Oryzias latipes: one gene and its partners. Each later gene encodes a partner of the first gene's protein in a complex. Links are inferred from orthologs where the notes say so. Each region holds a gene or a part of one and is shown in the gene's direction. Other genes may lie near its edges. The genes, in order: timm23, timm17b, timm50, timm21 and timm17a.

Region 1 (4,989 bases):
ATTGTGATTCTTGGTCTATTTGTACTTGCTGTCACATAATCCTGTCTCATCAGACAGACAGGTAACATTCTAACGGAACAAAAAGGAGCCAAAGTTCTTCTTTCCTTTTTTCATTCAATAATTTTTCTGGCCTAATAACCCTTGGACTAACACAAAAACCTTCAATGCGACCCCATCCAGTGTGAAACGTCAACACACTTTTGGCATATTGTCATGCCATTGGTACCACCATTCCTTCAGTATGTAAAATAGTTTTGTTTTTGTAATTTTCAAACACTTTGTCACATTGAAAGTTCACATGTTTTTCTAAGAATTTTATCAAAACTGAACAGGCATCGTGAAAATCTTACCCATTTTCCTGTAAAAATATTAGGACCTTCTAGAATATTTCATTATTGCATCGTTGTTTTTAATATCGTCTTAGCAAAATAGATGTTCACACTATTGAAATAACTTCACAATCAGACTGTGGCGTTTACTGCCACCTAAAGCATGCACATTAGCCTGAATTTTGTGATATCTGCGGTATGATCTGTCACATTGTTGTATCTATTCTTTTGTTTTTAAGAGTCAGCAGCACCTATAATGTGACAAATATCCAAATTGTTCATACATCTATCCATTTTCTGAATCTACTAAATGCCCTACAGCCTAACGGCTACACCACCATGCAGCCTCAACTTTTTTCATTGTTTAATTTTCTGGTGAGTTCAGTTTCATTTTGGATTTAGTCTGTCATTTAAGTGTGATTAAAAAAAAACACACAAAAAATATTTTGATTTATTATGGTCAGAAGTGTTTTTAGACTAGTTTACAAAGAAAAAAAACTTAATGTGAATAAATAAAATTCCGAATGAAATATCTGCATACATTTCTGTATAATCTGTCTTTTACTGAGAAACTCTGACAACATCCAACTATTTCCAACTATTTTTGTAAGATTTGGGGACTTTAAATTTAAGTATGCATTTAATGTGCATTTAAATATGTCAGTAATCCATCCATCCATCCATTTTTCAAACCCACTGAATCTTTTTTTGAAGACAATTTTGTTTGATTTCCCCCAGAACCCACACTTTTTAACAAAAAAGAAAAAAAAACATTCTAATTTCTATTATTATTATGGCCCGCAGCAGCAATCACTTATTATTATTATTATTATTATTATTATTATTATTATTATTATTATTATTATTATTATTATTATTATTATTATTATTATTATTATTATTGTTTATTATTGTTGTTATTTAAGTCACTTATAACATAAATCTTATTTTTCGTTGTTGTTTTTATCACGTACCTAATTTAAAGAAACTATAAATAAAACTATAAATTGTCGAAGTAGAGATTGTATAATTTGTCAAGTGTCTATCTACAAATAAAGTTTTTTTATTTTGAATTGCTGTTTCAAAGCAGAGAGAGAGCCTGTCGTAAAATCTTTGGTTGTTTTTCTCAAATGTTACCAAAGTTATTATCAAATATAATTAGTTTAAATAATATTTTGAGTGAATTAATTTAATATAGTAATTTTTGACGAAGTTGAGAGAAAATTCTCTCATTTTTCAGGACTTGATATTGGACGTAACATGAGTGCGACGCCGGTGATCACTTTACGGCAGAGCATGCTGTTGGAGGTCAGTGGCATGACGTCAAGGCGAGTTCTGAGCAGTAAAACACGAGTTCGATTTGATTTTGCGTTCTTAAAATTTATCGGAGGTACAGCATAAGCTTTTATAGATGTTTTATTTTAGTGAAGGTGGATCCTGGCTGCGCTTCTGAATAAAAAGCTTTATAATTTAACATAGTGCTAACGACGTTAGCCGCACAGGCTCGACTCCCTATTCCACTTGACCCTTTAACTTCACAGCCATGGATAATAATTCACAAGGATCTGGGGGATTTAAAGGAGGTCTCGGAAGTATTTTTGGAGGGGGTGCCCCAGAATACTCCAATACAGAGCTGGCTGGAGTTCCGCGTAAGTATTGTGTAAACTTGATGTACTGCTAGATAGCTGCTCTCATTCCTGAGGAAGGAACCAAAAAAACTACAGGATCAATTAAGGACTTAATCGATTATAGTTTATGTTGTCATTGATTTTCAGTGACTGGGATGAGTCCCCTGTCCCCTTACCTCAACGTGGACCCTCGATACCTGGTTCAGGTACGTTTAAACATTAGTGTTGGTTGGTGCTTTTGTGTGTATCATCATGTTTGGCGGCTCTAACTGTCAAAATGTTTGTGTTATAGGACACAGATGAGTTCATTTTACCCACTGGGGCTAATAAAACTAGGGGGAGGTTTGAGCTGGCGTTCTTCACCATTGGAGGTTCCTGTATGACAGGTGAGTAACCTTAAATTTTTACATTAAAAACGACTTTGGGGCACGTACAGTAACGAAAATAAGATACAGAACCCCATCATTAACCAGCCATCTAGATTTAATTTCATTTCTATTCTTCTGACCTCTTTTGGTAAAAAAAGACAAAACAAAAACAAAACCATCATCATAGTTTTTAAACTCCCTAATTACTTAACAATACTAATTTCTTGCTTTTTTTCACTGCAGGAGCTGCCCTGGGAGCCATCAACGGTCTTAGGATGGGTCTGAAGGAGACCAGAGATATGACGTGGTCCAAACCACGAAATGTTCAGTAAGTTAACAGAGAGCAGGCTACAAATTCGTTTTGCACCCAAAAATGCGCCTTTTTTCTTCTAATTTGTACCTGTTTTGCCATCAGAATTCTTAATATGGTAACCAGACAAGGGGGATCATGGGCCAACTCTCTAGGCTCTGTTGGTAAGACTTACAGTTAGAGCTTGGGGGTTTTACGCTTTCATATTTCTTTGCCTCCTGTCATTTTTGAATGTCTTTTTGATAATATTCCCATCAAATCATTAGAAATTTTTAGTAAAATGCAGCCAAAATAAGTGTGGGCATTGTTAAATATGGCCTTCTGTGTGGCTACATTATTACTCAAGATGTCCCTGCTTAGGGAGGGACAGAATTCTTTTGTTTAGCTGCTTTCTGATACTTTTTCTGTAGTCGTCATGCATGTTCTTTTGTTGAGTAGAGTCACCACCTCAAGGTTAATCTCTTCAGAGGTTCAGGAAAGAAAGCTAGAACATCTGTGATGATGTTTTAATATGTATTTCTTTATTTTTTTAGCCTTGTTGTACAGTGTTTTTGGTGTGGCGATAGAGAAGGCCAGAGGAGCAGAGGATGACATCAACACAATGGCTGCCGGCACATTAACAGGAATGCTCTTTAAATCTGCAAGTAGGTGTTTTTCTGTTAATGAATCCAATTTGTTTTGTGGTACAGCGTTCCCTCGCTAGATTCACCTTGAAGCTGTTTCCTGGATTTTTTAAGCACAATTGTGCACATTGTGTTCTGCGTCCCGATTGGCTGTAGACCTTGTCAGTCAATCTCTTCCATGCTGTGTCTCCTGTCCAGAGTGCAGCTTTCCAAAGCTTCATAAATCTATCCTCATGCTCAGATCTTTGTTTTCATTCTATGATTCATTTTTCACGAAGGTTTGAATTTCTGAGTTTAAACAAGAAAAAAAAAGTGTGAAAATGTTCATGTCTGTCTCAGAAAAGTGTGGGGATGAGTTTTATATCCGTAAAATGTAAAGCTTAAAACATTTACAGGGTTATTAAAAAACATTATTTTAGGTTTTTAGAACTCAAATGAATAAAATTATTGCAGATTATTTAAATTTCTTTTTACTTGTACATAGTCCTGATTATCTTCTTTAGTGAAATATTTTCTGAGGTCCTCAGTATTTGGGATCTTTTTTTTCTTTTCTCTGTGCTCTCAGGCGGACTGAAGGGTGCAGCCCGCGGAGGCCTGCTTGGTTTGGCGTTGTCTGGAGCTTATGCCGTTTACAACAACTGGGACCATCTCACCGGCTCCTCCTCATCCTCGCGACTATACTAAACTCCCATGTCCTCATTTCGTCACTTGAGGTCAAAATGTGGATGGAGGACGCAGCCTTCAGCCACAGACTGCAGGGAACTCCTAAAGGAAGGAAACCAAGAAACCCACGAGCATTCTGGGAGTCTGAAGATGGTTGTAAAATAAGTTAAGGAAAAACATGGACTCAATTCCACATTTTTGTGTTTATCTTGTTATGTTCTATTACTGTTCTGTTTAGAATCCCACGTCAGGGTTTATTATTTGTTATAAGGTTGTTTTTGAAGCCTTTTCAGTCTTTGATGCTAGGTTTTAAAAATCATTAAACGGATGACGGATGAGGGGGAATCCTGTTTTTGTCATGGCTTCTTTGTGATTTCCAAACTCGGATCAAAGCCTTATTATCCGTTTTTTTTAATTGATGTATTATAAAGCAGTGAGAATCATCAAAAGCTGTATTGGAACATATATTATGAACTAAAATAAAACCATAAATGTTTCTTTTTTGTTTATATTGTTTTTATACCTCAAAGGGATGCAGACAGATAAATACAAAGAGTAACAAAAGGGATTTTGCGAAGCTGCATTTACATCAGGAAGTGTCTTCTGCAGAACAGGAGGAAACTTTGAGTTGGTTCAGTGCAGGAAAAAGTCCCTGATGCGAGTCGCCTCAATCCATGGGATGTAGGTGGCTGTGCGGGTGAACACGCTGGGTTTATTCTCAACGGTGCAGCCGATGGGGCCGAAGCTCACCACTCCATGCACCTCCCAGCGGTCTCGGTCCAGCTGGCAGAGCAGAGGACCCCCAGAGTCGCCCTGGGAGAGGAGGAAAGAAAACAGTGAAGGTACTTTTCCTGGTCTGAACATCACCAGTGGCTGGAAGGCTTACCTGGCAGGCAGCAGGTGGGTCCTCTGTGTCTCTGAATCCGGCGCAGATCATAGAGTCTCTGACACGGTCACCCCAGAATTTCTTCTGCCGGCAGGTTTTGAAGTCGATGATTGGCAGACGGGCTTGATTCAACGCTTCTGCCAGGGAGACGTTGTCCTTCCCACCTGGGATGTGTTAAAACA
Region 2 (5,002 bases), on another chromosome or scaffold:
CTTTGTTGAGGCAGCGGCTTGTATACTGATGCAGCTTGTGTATGTACAAAAATATTTAAGCACGTTAAAATAGGTGGGTGCGGCTTGTGATCGGGTGCGCTTTATAACCCGGAATTTACGGTAAATATAATATATATAATATAAAAATAATATAAAAATCAAAAGGAAATCCACATCTTTGAGGTTTTAGAAAACAATCATTATCTGAGTAGCATGACAAACAAAGTTTGAATATAAAGATGGATAAACTTTAGCTATATGAGAGTTTATTACACATTCATGCTCTTCATGTTCTTTTTTTGTTTCCTCATACCCTTGTCAAAAAGTAAAAATCCAATATTTTGGACATTTTATGAACTCTGTAAAACAATTTTTAATGAAAGCAGAGCAAAGTCATCTACTTTACCAAATTCTTACCTTTTGCTTTTTTGGCAGCTTTCATTATAACCGCTGACGGATCATTTGGGGAAAGCCAGGAAACCAGATCGGACTCAATGTTCCAGTAATAAGGAAGACCGCTGGGAAATGAAGAAAACAAATAACTTTAGCTGCAATTGCTTTTCATTTCAATGGTAGATCAATGACACGCAGTGATCATACTCAAACACAGCAGCGCAGCTGATCGACTTCGTTTCTACGTACCACGTCGAGTCAAACACTTTGTACCAATTTGGGGGAAGATTTTCTAACCGAGTGGCTTCATAGTCAACATTGTTGTCATCATAATCTTCAGCGATGATCTCCTCCTCTATCTCTGTTTTGTTGAGGAGAAAAAGTCGTTTTAAGCTCAGAAAAAAAGCAGAAAGTAAGCTCTGTGAGGATGTAGAATACTACCTTGATCTGAAGGTTTAACTATTCCTCTCTTGGCCAAACGGGCCAGCAGGGCTGGAGGTAGAGGCATCTGCAAGCACAGAGGAGTTAGGATTAAATGATGATGCAAATGCTGACAAATTCTTCAGTTGATTACATACGAATTCACCGATTGTGTACAGGAGTTAGGATTGCAGAAATTTTGATTAAATATAAATTCTTTTTAAAAAAAAATAAAGGTTCCATTCCAAAACTAATTATGTTCGTTCACAAACATTTTTGCCTAACTAGTGATTTAAATAAAGCAAAACTTGAACTTTAAATCAATAAAATTCAACTTCTGGCTTTAAAAGCAAAGAAAATGTTTTATTTAACCTGACAAATACAAAATATTACTTTTATAGAAAAATCAATTAATTAAATAACTGATTTGGCTTTAATTTGGCAGAACTGTTTCGTTTCAAACTAACCCATAAAAGCAACAACATAAGAGACACCCATTACCCCAAATTCTGAAATTAAACATGTTCTATGACCAAATCCAGATGTACAGATGTGTACATTCAGAGCACCTGTATAGATAAGGTATTTGAAGCAAACAAATCCATTCTTCACTGTTTCTAAACAAATTCTCTGGAGGAAAATTTTATGATAAGGTGCGAAATTTAAACACGCACGCACGCGCGCGCACACACACACACACAAAACTGTCTCAATTTCAAAGCAGCTCAAAAAATGAAACAGGACTTTTCTGAAAGTTATTTCGATGGTTCTGGTTCTACTATGGAGCGATTGATTAAAACTCTCAAACGTTAAGTTTTTTTTGTCTTTTAAATATTGAGGTTAGTGTAGCTCAGTCAGTTTTAAAATATCGATAATTAGCAAAGAAACAATATTTCAAGAGCTAAAATAATCTGCACGAAAACATGATCCAGGCCCGTTTTTCTGAACTCAACTCACAGCTGCGGTTAAAATAAATCAAAATCCCGTCATTTTGAAGTTCCTAACTATAATAAGAAACTCAATTAACCAAGTAAGCGTTTATATAAATAACAAAGAGGGGGGAAAGTCTGTACCTGTTCTTAAAAACGACTATTTCAATCGTTAAAATCAACAGACCACCACAACGAACGATGAGCCGGCGCCTGATTATGACGTCACTGCGCTTAAAAGACGACACGAAAGATGGAGGAGTTTGCGCGTGAACCTTGGTGAGATTATCTTTTTTTGTCGAATAAAACCTAAACATATTAGTTTGTCCTTTGGCTTTTATGCAATTTTGCCCTCTTGTTGAACGAAACCTGACCAGGTTGAATAGTTTCGCGTCCACCACCGAGAAGTAATCTAATTTCAACTAGAATTCTAACATTTCGCAGGTTATAAAATATATTATTTCTACAATTTATGGAAAAACGACAACATTTACTGTTAGTGCTTTAAATTAGCTTAAAACATATTGCGAACAAATGTTACATATTTTGTGACATTTTTAATTAATTGGTAGTAAGCTTGTTTATTGTTTTTCAAGCCGAAACATCCAATTTATATCCTTGTGCAGAAATGGATGTTTTATATATCACAGAATATAATGGTATTTAATAGCAATTAAGATCACAGTTACATTTATTCTATAAATCCTAAATGCAGTTTAAATCTCTCAACAACTTTCAGACATTTTAAAGAATAATCATTAACATTGTCTACTATTTCATAGATGGATGATTGTTTATTAGAATTCAGTAAAGTCGACACTTCTAGGGCTTCAGGCACACAGATCTCCTCTAAAGCTGCCCCAACTCATCAAAATGCTGACATGCTTGTCATTGAGTCATTGATAATCCAGATTGATAATAACACTTCTGAATTTAACTGATTATAGATATTAGATAGTTGTTATGGTTAACCCATTTACTTCTGAGTTCAGAGTTTTTGGAGGGATTAACAGAAAGATCCCCCACCGTCTACAAAAGGAAGACACACAAACCAATCAGAGTAAAAACATGGAGACAGAATCATTTGTTTCTCTTTTTGGTCTGCTCCTGCTCCGTCTGCTTGCTGCCCCACGCCGCTCCGTCTGCTTGCTGCCCCACGCCGCTCCCTTCTGCCTCCTTTTTTCCCCCTCGCAGCTACAAGCTCTGCCACCTCTGGCTCTTCTCTGTTCTGATCTAATCAGTTTCTCTCTGATCTGTTCCTGCTTTGTGGTTATTCCTAGTTTTGAACTTAAAGGAAGTCAGAATTCACTCCCCTTGTGTCAGAAGAAAACACTGTGGATCTGTGATCCATTATTTTGCCTTTAGAGAGTAAATCTGAATGGAGAGAACCCCCTAAGTTTATAAGACAAAAGAATCAGAGGAAAATCCTTTAATTTATCATTTGACTCGTGACAAAGTAGAATAAATAGAAGAGTTAGCATGAAAAAGCCTGTGTCTTCTCATTTAGATCTTTGTTTGTTTTGAACATTTGAGCCTCCTGCAGCAGTAAGCCACCAGAAAGAACAATAATATGTTGCTGTTTTGCTGTCTTAATCCAATGACTAATTATTTAAACAAGTGTTTTAAAGCTGTTAAAGAAAATGCAGGTTCAGTGTGACCTTAAATAATGTCTGCATCTGTCGTTTAATAATATACTGCAGCTAAAATTGGGATTTGGAGTTAATATAATCCAAAGATGAATTCTTGTGGAAGCTGGAAAGTATGCCGGATCGTTGATAGCTTTCCTAAGAAATTAATAAAAAGGTTATTTGTTTCAGTTCTACACCTTTAACTTCTTGGCCTAATTTTGGTTCATTCAGATCCTGATGAGTCAATCTGCAATTTTTTTCCTCTGTGTCCGTAATTTTTCATGATCTGACTTCTTTCCTGCAGCCCCTGGAGGATTGTGGATGACTGTGGGGGGGCGTTTACTATGGGTGCAATTGGTGGAGGGGTGTTCCAAGCAGTCAAGGGGTTTCGAAACGCCCCCGCCGTGAGTTAAAACCACAAGTCTGTTGGCTCTGATGCGCCTGTTTTGTGAGGATAATAATTAACAGCAGTCTGACCTTTCAGGGTGTTGCACACAGGCTAAAAGGAAGCGCCAATGCAGTGAGAATAAGAGCGCCGCAGATTGGAGGTGAGGAGATTTTGCTCTTATTAATAACAAAAGGTTTCCTGGCTTCACCACAATGTCATTTGCTGTTCATCTCTTTATTGGAAAAATTATACCTAGATGCCATAAGAGCTGTTCTCTTCTTGTTTTTGTTTTTCACACTCCCCTGAACATTTTTGCAGGCAGCTTTGCAGTGTGGGGGGGGCTCTTCTCCACGATCGACTGTGGTCTGGTCCGTCTGAGAGGGAAAGAAGACCCGTGGAACTCCATCACCAGCGGGGCCCTGACCGGAGCCGTTCTAGCAGCACGCAGTAAGAGCGAGTCTGGGCCGCACACTCTCAGCGGGTCGTAGTGTTTGGTGGAATTGAGCGGACAGGGTGTCTTTCCTCAGGCGGACCGTTGACCATGGTGGGCTCTGCCATGATGGGAGGAATATTGCTCGCTCTCATCGAGGGTTTTGGGATCCTGCTAACCAGATACACTGCACAGCAGTTTCAGAACCGTGAGTGAAACTCTTGAATGGTGGTTTTATTCTTCCAAAAATGAGTTTTTGAAAATCATATTTGTATTCTACAGTAATATAAATCAGGTTGACTTTTTCTTTGGTGTATACATTTAGTTATTGTTACCTATTCACACTATTGAAGTTTTTTTCGCGGCAAATGCAGAAGACACCAGGGAAATTACATCAGCAAAATGTGATTTGCATTGTTAAAAAAACACGATGAGGGCAAAATGAAGGCTGCAAACTGGAATTTTTTGGTTAATCCTTAGTCATATGCTGGTTTTTGGTTTGTTCGGGGCTGTGGAGGGTCGTAGAGACAATCAGCTGCACCTTGAGGGGAGCAGATGTGTCTTTTAGTTTCCCTTCAGTCTCGTACCTAATGGAACGTCACTAAAAATGCAATGTACAGTTGTCATGCGTTTGGTAAGTTTGTATTTGTGAAGTATTTCTAAGGATAGTGACGTATGACTGGCTTACACCACACTCTATTCATTAGCAGGTTGTGCACACTGACTCAAATGCTGCACACCTGCGATGTGGAATTGCCTGTAGGACGTTAGTCAGGCTGCACGCAAGGAGCGCACACACATTGTTTAAGCGTTC
Region 3 (3,512 bases), on another chromosome or scaffold:
CCGGGCAACCCAACGTCAGCCACCCAGACTGGGGTCAGAAGGACCACCACAGGGTCCCATATTTAGGGTTTTACCATCAGATTTTCTTGAATCCGATCCTTTGAGGGCGCCGTGTGACCGGTTGGTTTTTTTGCAGATGATCATCGAGCCAACGAGCCCGAAACTGCTGCCCGACCCGTTGAAGGAGCCGTACTACCAGCCGCCCTACACCCTGGTGCTGGAGCTCACAGACGTCCTGCTGCACCCGGAGTGGTCGGTGCGTTTGGCTCCATGCACGTGTTTGCTAGTACTGATGTGGTGACATCACTGAAAGGGGAATGAAGCGCTGAGGTCAAACACAACCAAGCTTCACGTAGGAGAACACGGACCTCAGACAACCACGGCGGCCGTCCAAAGCCCGTCAGACCCCCCGGCGGTCTGTGCTCACACTGTAGTCCATGTGCCGCCGTTAGCTGCCGCTCAGCCAATGAGGGGGGGGTAATATGGGGGGTAATGGAGGGGCATTGAGGGTGCTTGCTGCTTTCTTTTCACGTTTTATACGTTAAAATTGTTCAGATCATCACCCCTTCATAGGGAATAACGAGGCATTAACAACGACGTTTCATGGTTAAATTCTGAACCTGTCAGAAGGACTACGACAGCAGTCAGAGGTTGGCGTTTGGGGCCGGAGCTCAGAACTAAATGGATTCAAAGGAACCAATGAAGAACTTCCTGAACCGCTGCAGAACTCAAACTTCTAGCTCATCATAAAAGTCTGAAAGCAAAGCCATAAAGAAACTCATAAATAGTTGAACACCAAGCTTCATGAGGAAACAACAGAGCAGATGTTGATGGAGGAGGATTAGACCCACAAGTGCTTCTGTTTCTAATCCGTCTCAGAATTACAGGTTTCCTCCCAAAGTGTGTTGTGTGGTTTTTTTTTTATTATTGGTTTTGAATTTTAGGAATTTTGGTTTCAAACATGCAGCCTCACAGGAAAAGTATTTCTGTCATCTTTCTCAAGGACTTCGGTCTTTGAGGTCCATGAACTCACCGCTGGTTTCTCTGACCAGGACTTTGGGTTCATTTGAACGCCTCATGACCCAGATCAGCAGAGAAGCTGTTGTAACCCGGCGGTTGTGTGTTCTCTCTGTCTGTGAGTCCAGTTGTCGACGGGTTGGCGCTTTAAGAAACGTCCGGGCATCGATTACCTGTTCCAGCAGCTGATGCAGTACTACGAGATCGTCATCTTCACCGCCGAAACCGGCATGGTGAGCGTTTGCTCCACGTTCTTCCAGAGGAACCAGGAGGCTGGTTTGGTTGGGGGTGAGGCTGATGATGCTCTGCTCCTCAGACGGCGTATCCCCTGATTGACAGCATCGACCCGCAGGGTTTCGTCATGTACCGCCTCTTCAGAGACGCCACGCGCTACATGGAGGGCCATCACGTGAAGGTGGGTTTCCTGAGAGCGCCGATCAGTCGGTTGGTTGGTTCTGCTTCGGTCGCTGGACCGTCACGATGCCAACCACCCTTTAAAACCCAGAAACAGAAGAGTTTCTGAAAAGTTTCATTTACCTTTTCAAAGTGTCTCATTGAAGGCGCAGCGCCAAAGCAGACACGCCTGACGGTTGTTTCCGCTTTCTTCTTCTGTTCTGGAAACTCCTAAATGAATTTGGATTCCTTTGACCTTTGATTAGCATTTCTGTTACTTCACAACTTTCCTGTCTGTTCTACATTTGTATTCTGCTGTCATGTTCAATGATTTGGTCCCATAACAATTAATTACCAGAGTTAATCACTTCTGTGTTTGCTTTTTGAAGATCCACTTTATTGGTATGCAGCATCACACTGATGCCAACCGCTGATAATGAAAAGAAAACAAAGACTAAGAAGAAGAAGAGAAGGTGGAGGTTGGTTTGTTTGCAACGGGACAAGAAATGATTTGACAGAATTCACTATAGTGCGTTTATGTCGTCTTTAGCTTATTTCATCAAAGTTTTTCACCCGATTTAAGATTTTCAGCTTCTCTCTGCCCTTTTGATTACAATTTCATAATTTTGCATTTTTAGTATTTTTTTTAAATCTTTTTTTTATGGTTTAAGGCTTCATCTATTCTTCTAGACTTTTCCAGCCTCTTTATTTAGGAGTTAGTGTTTTTTTAGCCCAGGTTGTCCTACATTCATAATCTTTTGCAGTGAACATTTTATTAAATAGCTCAACATTTATCTAGAATTCAGCATAATTAGCATTTTTGTCTCCAAAAGTCAGTCACCTGGTTTGCTTCTTGAGGAAACTTTATTCCCCTTGGCTCCTCCCAGTCACTTTCTCCGCTCCTCCTACATCAGCGCCTCCCCCCCTCCACCCCCAGCTTTCCCTCTTCCTCCCTCGTCCTCCTCCTGAGCGCTTCCAACTGTTGTTTTCCGCTGAGGAGCAGTCTGCTGGCAGCAGTTTAACCCAGTTCCCAGCGAGGTCTTCCTCTGCAGCAGACGCTGAGGGTTGAAGCTCCATATGCTGGAGGAGAGTCCCGATGCCGCTTCGGATCCTCCCGTCCTCTGAGACGGTTTGTGGCTTTCAGTGGTCGGTGAGGAAGATGGGGGGGGGGGGTCACTTCCCCTCATTAACCAGAGCCGACCCTTCCTCCGCCCGCTGCCATTGTTCAGTGGCCCACTTCTGAAGGGGATCAGACGTCTGATTATTGGTTGACTGTTTTTAAGCTGCAAAAAAACGGACAGATTAGATTTTTATTGGACGGGTTTGGGGAAGTGATTGGAGGGCAGCCGGCCATTGTAGGAGCCAGACATGGGTTTAACCCTTGTGCTTCCTAGGCACTTTAATGTTGGGAGTTGGGTCATCTAGACCCACTAGACAGTGCTCTGAACCTTTTTTCTTCAATGATTTGTGATCTTCACTGGTGTCCATGGATTACATGAAATCTTTCCACCTTTATCCACCTTTGTCATGGTAGGGAGAACATGTCAATATGAGGGGGGGGGGGGGGGGGGGTCATCTGGACCGCATAGGATAGCACAAGGGTTAAGTGACTATATGTCAATGGAGTTGCCTTCCACCGAGTTGCAGCAAACATCTGCTTCATCTGCTTCAGCTGCTTCATCTGCTTCAGATGCTTCAGCTGCTTCATCTTTTTTAGCTGCATATGAAGCAGCTTCCACACCCCCTGATCTTAGCAGCTGCATCTAAGATCAGGGGGTGCGGCACTCACATAAACTGTCGGATGATAAGAAGGTATTTTAAAAAGCACTAAAATGTAAACACCATGGCAGCCGTCCTTTAGGTTAATTTATATAACGCTGATGATTAATAAACTCAAAGAAAGACCTGGCGTTTAAATCTTTGTCTCTTCAGCCCAACTGAAAGGAAACGCTTCCTAATTTTAGGCTGTTTTAAGGGCTAAAAAATGGAAGCAGGTCAGTTCTCTGGGTGACCACTAGGGGGTTTGTTTCTCCTTCAAGTGGCTCCTCATTCACCCAGTGTTAAAGGTCAGAATGTGAAGATGTTCCCACTGCCTTTAACAT
Region 4 (4,910 bases), on another chromosome or scaffold:
CAGCTTTTAATTATTGGATCAACTAATTTTTAGTTTATTATTTATTTTTTTTGCATTTTACTAACAGTTTATTCTGAATGTTTGTGATGCAGAGGATTTTTTAAAACTCAGTTTGGACATTTATTTGATAACATATTGGGAAAATGCTGGACTGAATCTTTTAAATAAACTAATATTTACCGCTTTTATTGTGTGGCAACGTTTTTCTCTTATTTGAGTTTCAAATGCGACAACATGGGGCCACTCTTCAGCATTTCCACAAACCCGTCCCGAGTCTGGGTAAAGGCAGAGGGTTGAGTCCAAGACGCCATCCGCTGTAAAACTGAAGCCAAACGACGTGGGAGGATTTTGTGGTGATCCCCAACAAGAGTAGCCAGAAAATTAAAACAAAATCTGTGTTTGTTATTTATTTATTCTTGCTTTATTATAGATTATATTACAAATTGACCAGTTTTGTATTTGACCAATCCCCTGAGGAAGAAGGAAGCTGGTGTGACAATGGAAATATTTTGTTCAGTGGCAGTTCTACACTGACTTACAACCCCCCCCACACCCACATTGACCACATCGTTTTGTGTTCCCTATTTTTAATTAACACAAAAATCAACACAAATGTAAGAATTTTATATACTCGTATTACAAGGGTGTCAAACTCAATTGCACAGGGGTCCAGGTTGTGGGCCGAACAGGATAAACATTTAGTGAACACATTAAAGATACGTTTTCAAACATTTTAAACTTATTTTGAACAAAAATTTGAATAAAAACAGACAGGAATATTGTTTCGGAATAAATCAACTTCAAGCAGCCCCAAAAATGTAATTGATAATCACAAAGACACTAAATAACATTGTTATAAAATCTCAATCATGTGGATTTGCTTTCAGGAAAGTGCAACTTTAATTGAAATAGGAAAGAAAATATATGCATTTATCAGATGTTTCTGAAATTTGTGGGAGTGCTGACTCAAACAGCCATTCAGCAAATACATATTCATGTCTGCTGTGCATTTAAGTCCTTAGCCAGTAATGCTGTAGTGAGCAGTAATTTGTTTTCCTTTCATTTTTTATCAACATGAAAGGATCCTTTTAAAATAAATTATACCTGTAATTAAAAAAAAAACTTGTATTAATTAAGGGTCTATTTAAAGTATTTACATAATCCTAAGTACCAAGTCAATAAGTTTGAAACCTTAAGTGAATTATTTTTATGTTGAAAAAACTCTGCTTCTAATTAAGTATGTCTAAATTGTTGCATGTTTTGTTTTTTTGGATTTATAACTTTGTTTTGTCTCAACACGTTTTACCTTTGTTATAAAACATAAAAACTGTTTGATCTCAATTTTTTAATCATTGTTTTAGCAGAAAAAAGACCACATTTTTTCTGCTAAAAAATGTGGTCTTTTTTCAAGAATTCTTGAATCTTGAATCTTTAGCAGAAAAAAGACCACATTTATCACTCAGAATTGACTTTTTTGGACAGTTTCAACTTCATTGTGGAGTTATTGTGCAGTATAATGAAAACAAAATCAGTAAAACGAAGTGTGGGTTTTTAAAAAGAGGATGGAAATCAAGCATTGCCGCAAAAACCGATTTGAAGATAAATCAATAAAGCGAAATACGACGTAAGGTCAAAAAAGCCCCAGACCACAAATAAGGCTGCAGTTTGACATCCGGGACAGAAGGGGGCAGTAGCCATCTTTAGAAAATCCTCGACGTCTGATCGACCCAGCAGGTCAGTGAATCAGAGGTCTGAATGGCGGTTTCCAGCATTGCAATTCCATGTTACCATGAAAGACCGCTGTTATTTGATTCTTATTTTCAGTAGATGAGCTGCTGTTTTCTTTTCTTTTTTTCAGATATTGTCCGTCGGATAAAATAATGTCTTTCACGCACATTTTAAAAGCCGTGCAACAAAGTGTGCGGAGCTCCGGGAAAACATTTCTCCCCGTGCAGCAGGCTGGCGTGCTGTTGTTCACACGCAGAGCAGGAGCGGTCATCCCCGGCCTGTCCGTCCGTGGGTCAGAGGCTCCTGTGTCCGCCCTGAGCTGTCTCTGTCAAACACGAAGACGCTTTTCTGTTCACGTTATCCTCAGAAACAAGGAGGAGAAGCACAGGTCTGTTTCTGCCTACCAGAGTCCTAAAGTGTCCTCTGCTCAGAAAGGTATGCCCATTTCAGATTTGTGCAACTAAACGCATATTTACTGTCTTGTCTCTTTAAATGGGGTTTAAAGCTACTATTTTATTTAGAAAAAACTAAAAATCTTGTTTTAGGACCGCCCATTTTGTTTTCTTACAACCAAAGCTGCTTTCAAAGTTTCTTGGCAAGTAATAACTCCTACTCCCTTTCCTGTGGTGTTCCTCAGGTTTCTGTTCTGGGCCCTCTTTAGTCTATACCTCATTCACTCACTTTATGTACTTCATCTTTTTCATGTGATTTATTGATACCTAAAGATTCTTAATGACCTGAAACTGTGTTGGTAAGGTATAAATATCCGCTTAGAAGTTATGAACCGGATACTTCATGTAAAGAAAATGTTAAGTTTGATAAGTTTGCTTCCTTCCACTCCCTTTCAAGCCATCTTTAATTAAATGACTAAATATTCTATGTTTGATACATCTTAGTTTGTATGGATGTTGATTGTGTAGTTTTCAGCATTGTTTTTGCTTTGGTTGCTTGAAATAAGCAATGCCAAATCCAATTGAACAAGGTTTATTGAAAAAAGAAAAGAAAATCCAAATTAATCTTGAAGATAAATTCTGCATTAATTCATCAAATCAATGGATATATTTCATTTTGCATTTATTCCAGCATTGGAATATATATATTCCAGACCAAGAATTTGCTCCTTTATTCTATTTTTATGTCATTATTTTTAAAGTAATGAAGTAATTACTAACTCTGGTAACGTTAGGTTGGGGGTGTGAGGGGGAGCGGGTAATAGGTTGGTGATGGGAAGTGGAGCAGGCTTGCTCCACGCCAACAGCACAGTGGTCAATTTCTATTGAACTACTGCTGCTCTGCAGAAACTAACTAACTAAAGATCTTTAGGACTTGTCATCATAATACCTCGGGGCATACTAGAGGGCCAGACCTAACGTTATGTTGATGAGTTCCTCCTCCTCTTGTCATCTCTTATAGCCGCAGTCTAATAGAGCTACCCGTCTGCACAGACACACAGTTTCCTTTTATATCAAACCTGGAATATTTTCACTCTGGGTTAAATTTTGCTTATAAATCTAAACTCTTCCACTATGCATTGGCCACTCAAGAGCCTCTGCTCTGTTTGTCTTTCAGTCAAAGATGCTGGGAGAGACTTCACCTACCTGATCGTGGTCCTCATCGGGCTTGGAGTAACAGGTGAATTGAACTGCACGAGTCCAAGGAATGGCTACACAACAATCCCACATTGCTTGTTTATATATTTATTTATTTGGTCCCAGAACACACAACCTAAATAATCAGCTGCAGTTTTCTGCTGTGTTGGTCAGGGGGGCTGTTATATGTGGTGTTCCAAGAGCTGTTTTCCTCTACCAGCCCAAATAAAGTCTACAGCAGAGCCTTTGACAAAGTCAGGTCGCACCCAGAGGTAAAAATCAAGCCAGACGGCGTCTCCTATCAATATTTTTTTACTGTTGAAATGGCTAGAAATCATTGTTTTTCCAAAATAAAAGTAAGAAATACATAATCAATTGCAGGTTATTGGGGCATTTGGAGAACCAATTAAATGTTACGGTGAGACCACCCGCCGAGGGAGAAGGCAGCAAGTCAGGTGTGTTGACACTTTATCTTATCTTATTGAACTTTTTCTTACTTGCAAAATGTTGCTTTAGCATTCATTGATTCATGGTATAGAATACAGTAAATCTGATCAAACTTGGCATAACAAGCAGCTGCCTTTAGTTTTAGAGGAAATGCTTTTGCAGGATTTGAAGGACTTCCTTTCAGAATCACAACCTGTGAACATCAGCTATAAATCATATTTTCAGCAGCATTGAATTTCCTTCAACGTTTATGCAAAACTTGTCATGAAGGAGAATTTAGTTTCAGACCCCACAGCTATGAAACATAAAAGTTTTTATTGTCTTTTGAAGAGCTAACGTGGTATTCGTGCTGATTTATTGTAAGCATCTGAGAATCTGGAGCTCTGGAAGAATGGAGTTACAAAATGTTAAGGTTATTACATATATATGTTATTGTTGGAGTTTTTTTATTCCTTATTCTCATATTTCCACTTCAGTCACGTGGAGTATGTAAAGGATGGACTTAAGCACATGAGACTAAAGTTTTACATTGAGGGATCGGAGCCGGGCCTGAAAGGGACGGTGCATTCAGAGTCTAAAGAGGTAAGTCTTTATTTAAATGGAAACCTGTTGTTTCTTGTGTGGATTTTTTGATCAGTTGAGATAATGGTATCCTTGTTGTTTTGCAGAATCTTGAAACTGGAAAGTATGAATTCCGTTATGTATTTGTAGAAATAGATACCTACCCGAGACGGACTATTGTTGTGGAGGACAACAGATGAGGAGCTTTTCTGACACTCAGGGGACAAGTCAAGACGTTTGCACTTGTAAAGCAGGGTTTCATGTCTGTGAACTAAATAAATGGCTTTTTCCTGAATATATTATTGTGAAATTTTAAGAAATGGATTGGTTAATAAAATTATTTCTCAGCATTTGGTAGAAAGCTTCTCTATCGCAGTGTTAATGAAAATACAATAGTAATTTGTAAATAGAACATACAGAGATATTTTTTTGAAGATAAATGTATGCTTTTACAAATGATCACATTCTACAGAACTAATATGCTATAAAACATGAATTTGATCAAATTTTGCTTTTAAATGTAGGGGATGTTTTACTCCATTCAAACTTACTTTATCCTTTTTTGTTGTTTTACATGTAAAAATG
Region 5 (4,974 bases), on another chromosome or scaffold:
ATGGGCTTCATGCCAGCCGTCTCTCTGCACTGCTGCAGCTCCCCGACCACCAGTGGTATTTACCAGGGGGGAAAAAAGAGGAAAAAAGAATCGAAGCTGTTTTGTAAAAAATATCATTTAAAGGAGGAAAAGAACCCAGATGATGCTTTTCAGTGATTAAGTTTCATGCACTGCAAAAATAAGTAGCCTAAAAAGACAGAAAGAGCACTATTCTTGAGAAGAAAACCACTAAAAACTAGTAAAATTGTCTCCAGCAAGTAATTTATACTTATAAGATGTTAAAATCTAGAAACAAGCTGTTCCACATAAGCATTCAAAAAGAGAAAAATAAGCATACTTCGAGAGAGTAACTTATAATAATATCGTACGGTCCGATAATAAGTATTTTTTGCTAGTTCTAAGCAAATGGATTTAATTTTTTCAGTTTTTATAAACCTAATTCTATTTCATTTTGATTACAGTGACAAAAAATAGTTAAAAAGTAGAAATGACTCATTTTAGAACAAATCCTCATAAAATTTAGCTCTAATTGTTTGAATGTAAATCAAATTCTCAGTTTCCAAAACAAGGACACTGAATGCCAGTCTAACATTTATTGAACTCTAAAATAAAATCTTTAAAATTGAGCCAAAAATGACACTGTAATTAGAGATTTTTTGAGTCTTGAAACAAGTTTTTTCTCTTGTCGAGAGTAGGGAGCAAAAGAGTTTGGATTCATTTTAATACTTATTTCTTTATTTCTGTATCTCTGCTCTTCCTGAGAATGTGTATAGCAAAAATAAGTTCAAACAACTTAAAACCTGGTAAAATATCTTGAATGTCTGAAAAGGTTTTAATCTTTGAAAGAATCAAATGCTTTTCAATGTGTGATCTTGGGTGTATTATTTTAGTTTAGCTTTTGGTTGCTCTGAACTACATGTGGCTGTTTTTTTGTTTTGGCAAACAATTCCAAAGCCTTTAAGTAGCTGACATTTCAGTAGTTGAGCTCTCACAGAGTACACCCGGACACTTGATGTATAGGGTTAGGGTTGGTGAGTATTTTCAGAAAGGATCCTACTCCCACCAGCAAAGTGTTTTCTTCTTCTTCATGTTTTAAATCCAACCTGTGATGTTTCTGATGTTGTGACTAATTTCTACAATCATTCATACTCTGTCTGCAGTCACATTTATAAATGTTAGCATTGTCACAAACCACATCAACCACCCAAGGATTGGCTAATAGATCAGCTAATATAAATAAATTATGTGAAAAATTAAGTATAGATTTTTATTAAAAAACAAAAGCAAACACATATTATCAAATTTTTATAATTTTTAACTACGTAAACATTTTATATTAAGAAGTATTTACTTAAAAATAGTGAGGCATTTGTTTGTCCACGAGTGACAGATTAACTGGAGATTTTGTAAGTTATTTATTTTTGTCTTCTATTTCCCTGGAATTATAAATAACCAAAAAAAGCGGAAAAAATGTATACAGAAAACTGCAACCACACGTCTGCTCGATAGATGGCGGTACTCATTACTTTCAACTATTGGTTTACGTTCTGTGACGTCAAGAAGAAGAGGTTACGTCAGGACGCTCAGGGGAACACGGTGAAAGAACAAAATGGAGGAATATGCGAGAGAGCCGTGGTGAGTTTTTTATTTATTTATTTATTTTTAAATCACCTTAATTGTCTGGTTAAAAAACAAGACATGTTTGTTCCTTAACTTTGAGTACCTATTCTGATCACCAGTTGTAATGACTTTATCAGTCCTTAACCTTGCATGCTAGTTAGTGGTGTTAGCCGAAATGCTAATTTCTCCCTTGAAATCTATGGGTAGCTTGACGCTAACGACATACCGGCATGGTCGTGAAATCACGTTGGTGACCTTGTCGGCTATTTCGTCCACATGTAACTCTACTGACTTCACTGAAAACAGTAGTTGACTTTGCACTAAATAGAACACGGATTGCATCAAGTACCAAAAAGCCAACATCACCATTGTTGTTCAGAGAAAATTTGTATAACTTGTTATGAGACCCGTGTTGTTGTAACTCTGACTGCTGTCAACCCGAACCTGTGAGTGATCGGTTTTACTAGATTCCCCAAACACTTGTTTCGACATCCTGTAATCAACTTAAAAAAAACCATCATATCTACGTAAAATTGTGTTAACTATAGGTGGACTGTAAAAACCCATCTTAGGCCTTACTGCCATTAGTGTGACACTAAGTTGTTATATTTTGGCTGATCCATGACCAGTTGTCTTTTTCCCACCTCATTTAACTAGGATGTGACAAAACAATGGAACTTGATGCAATTTTGCTTGATTTCCACAAAATATATCTTTTTGGACGGTTTTGAGCTTTTCTTTAACACACAGTTGCACTGTGTCCTCTACATATAGCATGTTATTTCCTCTTGGCATTGTTTTAATGGTCTGCAATATGTTTCATTTTGGATAATAGGCATGACTGTAATGAAGTCTCCTGTAGCACATCCTGAAGGTCTCAGTGGTATTAAGACCTGGGTGTTGAGGTATTTGGTCCATGCATGAAACAATGTCTAAAGTTCCTAGAATTAGACGTTGTAAATCTTGGGCTAGCTTACTGGCATGCAGATGCACTCCCCAACCCCAACACACAGACAGAATTAAATCAATTCAAGTTTTAAGTTGTTTCATTTAGTTCTTAACCAGTTATGACAATAAAAAAGTCTAAATTATTGATGTCTACTGTGGACTTGTTTTTCTCTCAAGTTTGATGCATTTATTCGTTTTTGTCCCCCCCCCCCCCCCCCCCCATATATTTGGAACTCATTAACGAACAAATACCTGCTGTTTATTTTAAAAATACTCGTATTAGGTTCTGTAGTCTGTTGTCTGGCACTCCATGAGTACAGCATGAGGTTAAGCTTTGTCTGTGTTTTTTGTTTTTTAGCCCCTGGAGGATTGTGGATGACTGTGGTGGAGCATTCACCATGGGAGCTATTGGAGGAGGGATATTCCAGGCGGTAAAGGGCTTCAGAAACGCACCCTCGGTAAGTTCAGTTTGGACATTTGAACTGTACGTGTGTGCCGTCACATGGGTTTGCTGTGATTATCTTTCTCCTACCTGTAGTGGCAGAGCCAGTGTTTTGAAAGCCTTGGCCTTCTGGTTCAATGACTCGCTCAAGGAAGCTTTAAATATTTTCCAGCGAGATGGGTGTTATAGTGTTTATCTGCTCTTCACACTTTTTAAATCTGTTTGTGCTGGTCTTTTTTGTAGGGAATGAGCCACAGGATGAGGGGTAGTTTAACTGCCATTAAGACCAGAGCCCCGCAACTGGGAGGTAAGACAAAAAAAATTCCACATGTGCCGACACTTATGTCTCATTTCCACTGAGCGATCCCGGTCCGGTCAGGTGATTGTCTTTCCTCCTGCGTAGTGCCAATAGAACAAAAGCTAAGCTATCGACAACAACAATGCGTGTTGTGTTTTTTTTTCTTTTCTTCTTTCTCCAAGATGGAGGATATATAAAGAAAATTAGGCTCAAAATTCTATTTTGAGTATTTCTACATCGAAATCTTTGTGAATCAGGCGCAGACGCAAAAATGTTGTTGGAAAAAGCTTGTAGGTGTGATTAAAGGCATCTGGCTCAAAACTGTACGGCTGGAAAACTCCAATATTGCTTGCCATTTTAGTTGCAGCGGTAATTTTAGGTTGGGGTTGTGAGGGACTGTAAGCTAGCAGGAAAGCCTATAAATGGATGGATGATGGGATGTGGGGATGGACTTACTCTGCCAGCAGAACTTGGAGGTGAATTTTTAATGAACTCCTGCTGTTCTGCAAAAATTATGTCCTAGAAAATGACATGTTCTTTTATTTTTTTTGCTCAAATCTGCATAATTATAAGTAAAAAGTCCACTGGGGACACTTTTACAATAGATCAAGAAATGATCGGAGTGGGACTTTGATGGGGTTATTCTGCTGTTCTGGTAGCAGGTTGTTTACCATGTAAACAACAATACCCTTGAGTCATGTCAACTTCACCAAAAGGTCAAATCTTCATTGGTTTACGTTGCTTGTTAACCATTACTGTGTTTAAACTTTTGGTTGTCTTTTTTTTTTTTGCAAGGTTATATTCATAAACGGGTTTATAACATTTTCTGCTATACTGTCAAAAAAGATGACTGATGGTTACTAGTTGGTAATTATTTGTGGGTGTGTGTTGCAGGTAGCTTTGCGGTGTGGGGAGGCCTTTTTTCCATGATTGACTGTGGTTTAGTAAAAGTAAGAGGGAAAGAAGACCCCTGGAATTCAATAACAAGTGGTGCCATGACTGGTGCTATTCTCGCTGCAAGAAGTAAGTACAAATTTCCCCTTTTGAAAATAGACAGAACTTCAGGTGAAATTTTGCCTTGATCTAACTTGGAGCTCATGTAGTGATACAGAATTTCAGTAACTATATAACATTGGCACCAATTCAAATCATTGAATGCTATCTAGGTGGTCAGACACACCAGAATCATTTTACTTTGGTGAAATTCCATGTTTGCACATGAACAGGAACGTACTGGTGGAGGTCCTCTGTGCTGTATGTAGACTGTGGCTAAATCCACACAGAAACGTATTTTTAAAAAAACTGGCATTACATCTAATAAACTATTAAACTTTAGTAAATGTTTTCTAGAAGCATATGTGGCCCATCTGTCATCACATAATGCAAGAAAGAGACCGTCTATTTTAAACGGTCTGTAAAAGTTACATTCCACTTTGCGTTTCTTTTGAATTTCCTTTTTTGGCTTCTCTCAGCGGCTTTTTTAAGATGTTTAAATTGTGAGATGTGTGTGCACTACTGTTTGCAAAGGCTTTTGTCTGATCAGAGCTCCACTTTTGGGTTCTGTGAGGACAGAACTTATCTAATTCTCTCGCTAACGGTACTACTATGTGACCTCCAGGGACTTCTTACATTTTTAGAAACTTAAAGTAATTAAGACATTGGTTTT

What was found.
Region 2: timm23 (region 1) and timm17b share a complex: the UniProt entries of both Homo sapiens proteins name them as parts of the TIM23 complex. The link is inferred for Oryzias latipes from reciprocal best matches to the Homo sapiens genes TIMM23 and TIMM17B.
Region 3: timm23 (region 1) and timm50 share a complex: the UniProt entries of both Homo sapiens proteins name them as parts of the TIM23 complex. The link is inferred for Oryzias latipes from reciprocal best matches to the Homo sapiens genes TIMM23 and TIMM50.
Region 4: timm23 (region 1) and timm21 share a complex: the UniProt entries of both Homo sapiens proteins name them as parts of the TIM23 complex. The link is inferred for Oryzias latipes from reciprocal best matches to the Homo sapiens genes TIMM23 and TIMM21.
Region 5: timm23 (region 1) and timm17a share a complex: the UniProt entries of both Homo sapiens proteins name them as parts of the TIM23 complex. The link is inferred for Oryzias latipes from reciprocal best matches to the Homo sapiens genes TIMM23 and TIMM17A.

The regions. Positions count from the first base shown.
Region 1 is NC_019877.2:13,786,334-13,791,322, reverse strand, and holds timm23 (mitochondrial import inner membrane translocase subunit Tim23), read left to right. Parts: upstream 1-1,592; 5' UTR 1,593-1,872; coding exon 1,873-1,978; intron 1,979-2,104; coding exon 2,105-2,163; intron 2,164-2,249; coding exon 2,250-2,343; intron 2,344-2,568; coding exon 2,569-2,653; intron 2,654-2,740; coding exon 2,741-2,799; intron 2,800-3,168; coding exon 3,169-3,279; intron 3,280-3,823; coding exon 3,824-3,942; 3' UTR 3,943-4,418; downstream 4,419-4,989. Other genes in the region: elastase-1, read right to left, coding at 4,555-4,734, 4,808-4,971. UniProt on the Homo sapiens protein: Essential component of the TIM23 complex, a complex that mediates the translocation of transit peptide-containing proteins across the mitochondrial inner membrane.
Region 2 is NC_019865.2:21,320,387-21,325,388, forward strand, and holds the start of timm17b (mitochondrial import inner membrane translocase subunit Tim17-B), read left to right. Parts: upstream 1-1,970; 5' UTR 1,971-1,995; coding exon 1,996-2,021; intron 2,022-3,674; coding exon 3,675-3,774; intron 3,775-3,854; coding exon 3,855-3,918; intron 3,919-4,076; coding exon 4,077-4,205; intron 4,206-4,285; coding exon 4,286-4,396; intron 4,397-5,002. Other genes in the region: pqbp1 (polyglutamine-binding protein 1), read right to left, coding at 418-518, 643-754, 835-901. UniProt on the Homo sapiens protein: Essential component of the TIM23 complex, a complex that mediates the translocation of transit peptide-containing proteins across the mitochondrial inner membrane.
Region 3 is NC_019871.2:1,071,533-1,075,044, reverse strand, and holds part of timm50 (mitochondrial import inner membrane translocase subunit TIM50), read left to right. Parts: intron 1-136; coding exon 137-256; intron 257-1,145; coding exon 1,146-1,250; intron 1,251-1,333; coding exon 1,334-1,432; intron 1,433-3,512. UniProt on the Homo sapiens protein: Essential component of the TIM23 complex, a complex that mediates the translocation of transit peptide-containing proteins across the mitochondrial inner membrane. Has some phosphatase activity in vitro; however such activity may not be relevant in vivo.
Region 4 is NC_019878.2:15,517,907-15,522,816, reverse strand, and holds the start of timm21 (mitochondrial import inner membrane translocase subunit Tim21), read left to right. Parts: upstream 1-1,734; 5' UTR 1,735-1,749; intron 1,750-1,858; 5' UTR 1,859-1,880; coding exon 1,881-2,163; intron 2,164-3,297; coding exon 3,298-3,360; intron 3,361-3,491; coding exon 3,492-3,589; intron 3,590-3,698; coding exon 3,699-3,772; intron 3,773-4,240; coding exon 4,241-4,346; intron 4,347-4,432; coding exon 4,433-4,525; 3' UTR 4,526-4,910. UniProt on the Homo sapiens protein: Participates in the translocation of transit peptide-containing proteins across the mitochondrial inner membrane.
Region 5 is NC_019863.2:11,441,395-11,446,368, forward strand, and holds the start of timm17a (mitochondrial import inner membrane translocase subunit Tim17-A), read left to right. Parts: upstream 1-1,524; 5' UTR 1,525-1,609; coding exon 1,610-1,635; intron 1,636-2,926; coding exon 2,927-3,026; intron 3,027-3,253; coding exon 3,254-3,317; intron 3,318-4,202; coding exon 4,203-4,331; intron 4,332-4,974. UniProt on the Homo sapiens protein: Essential component of the TIM23 complex, a complex that mediates the translocation of transit peptide-containing proteins across the mitochondrial inner membrane.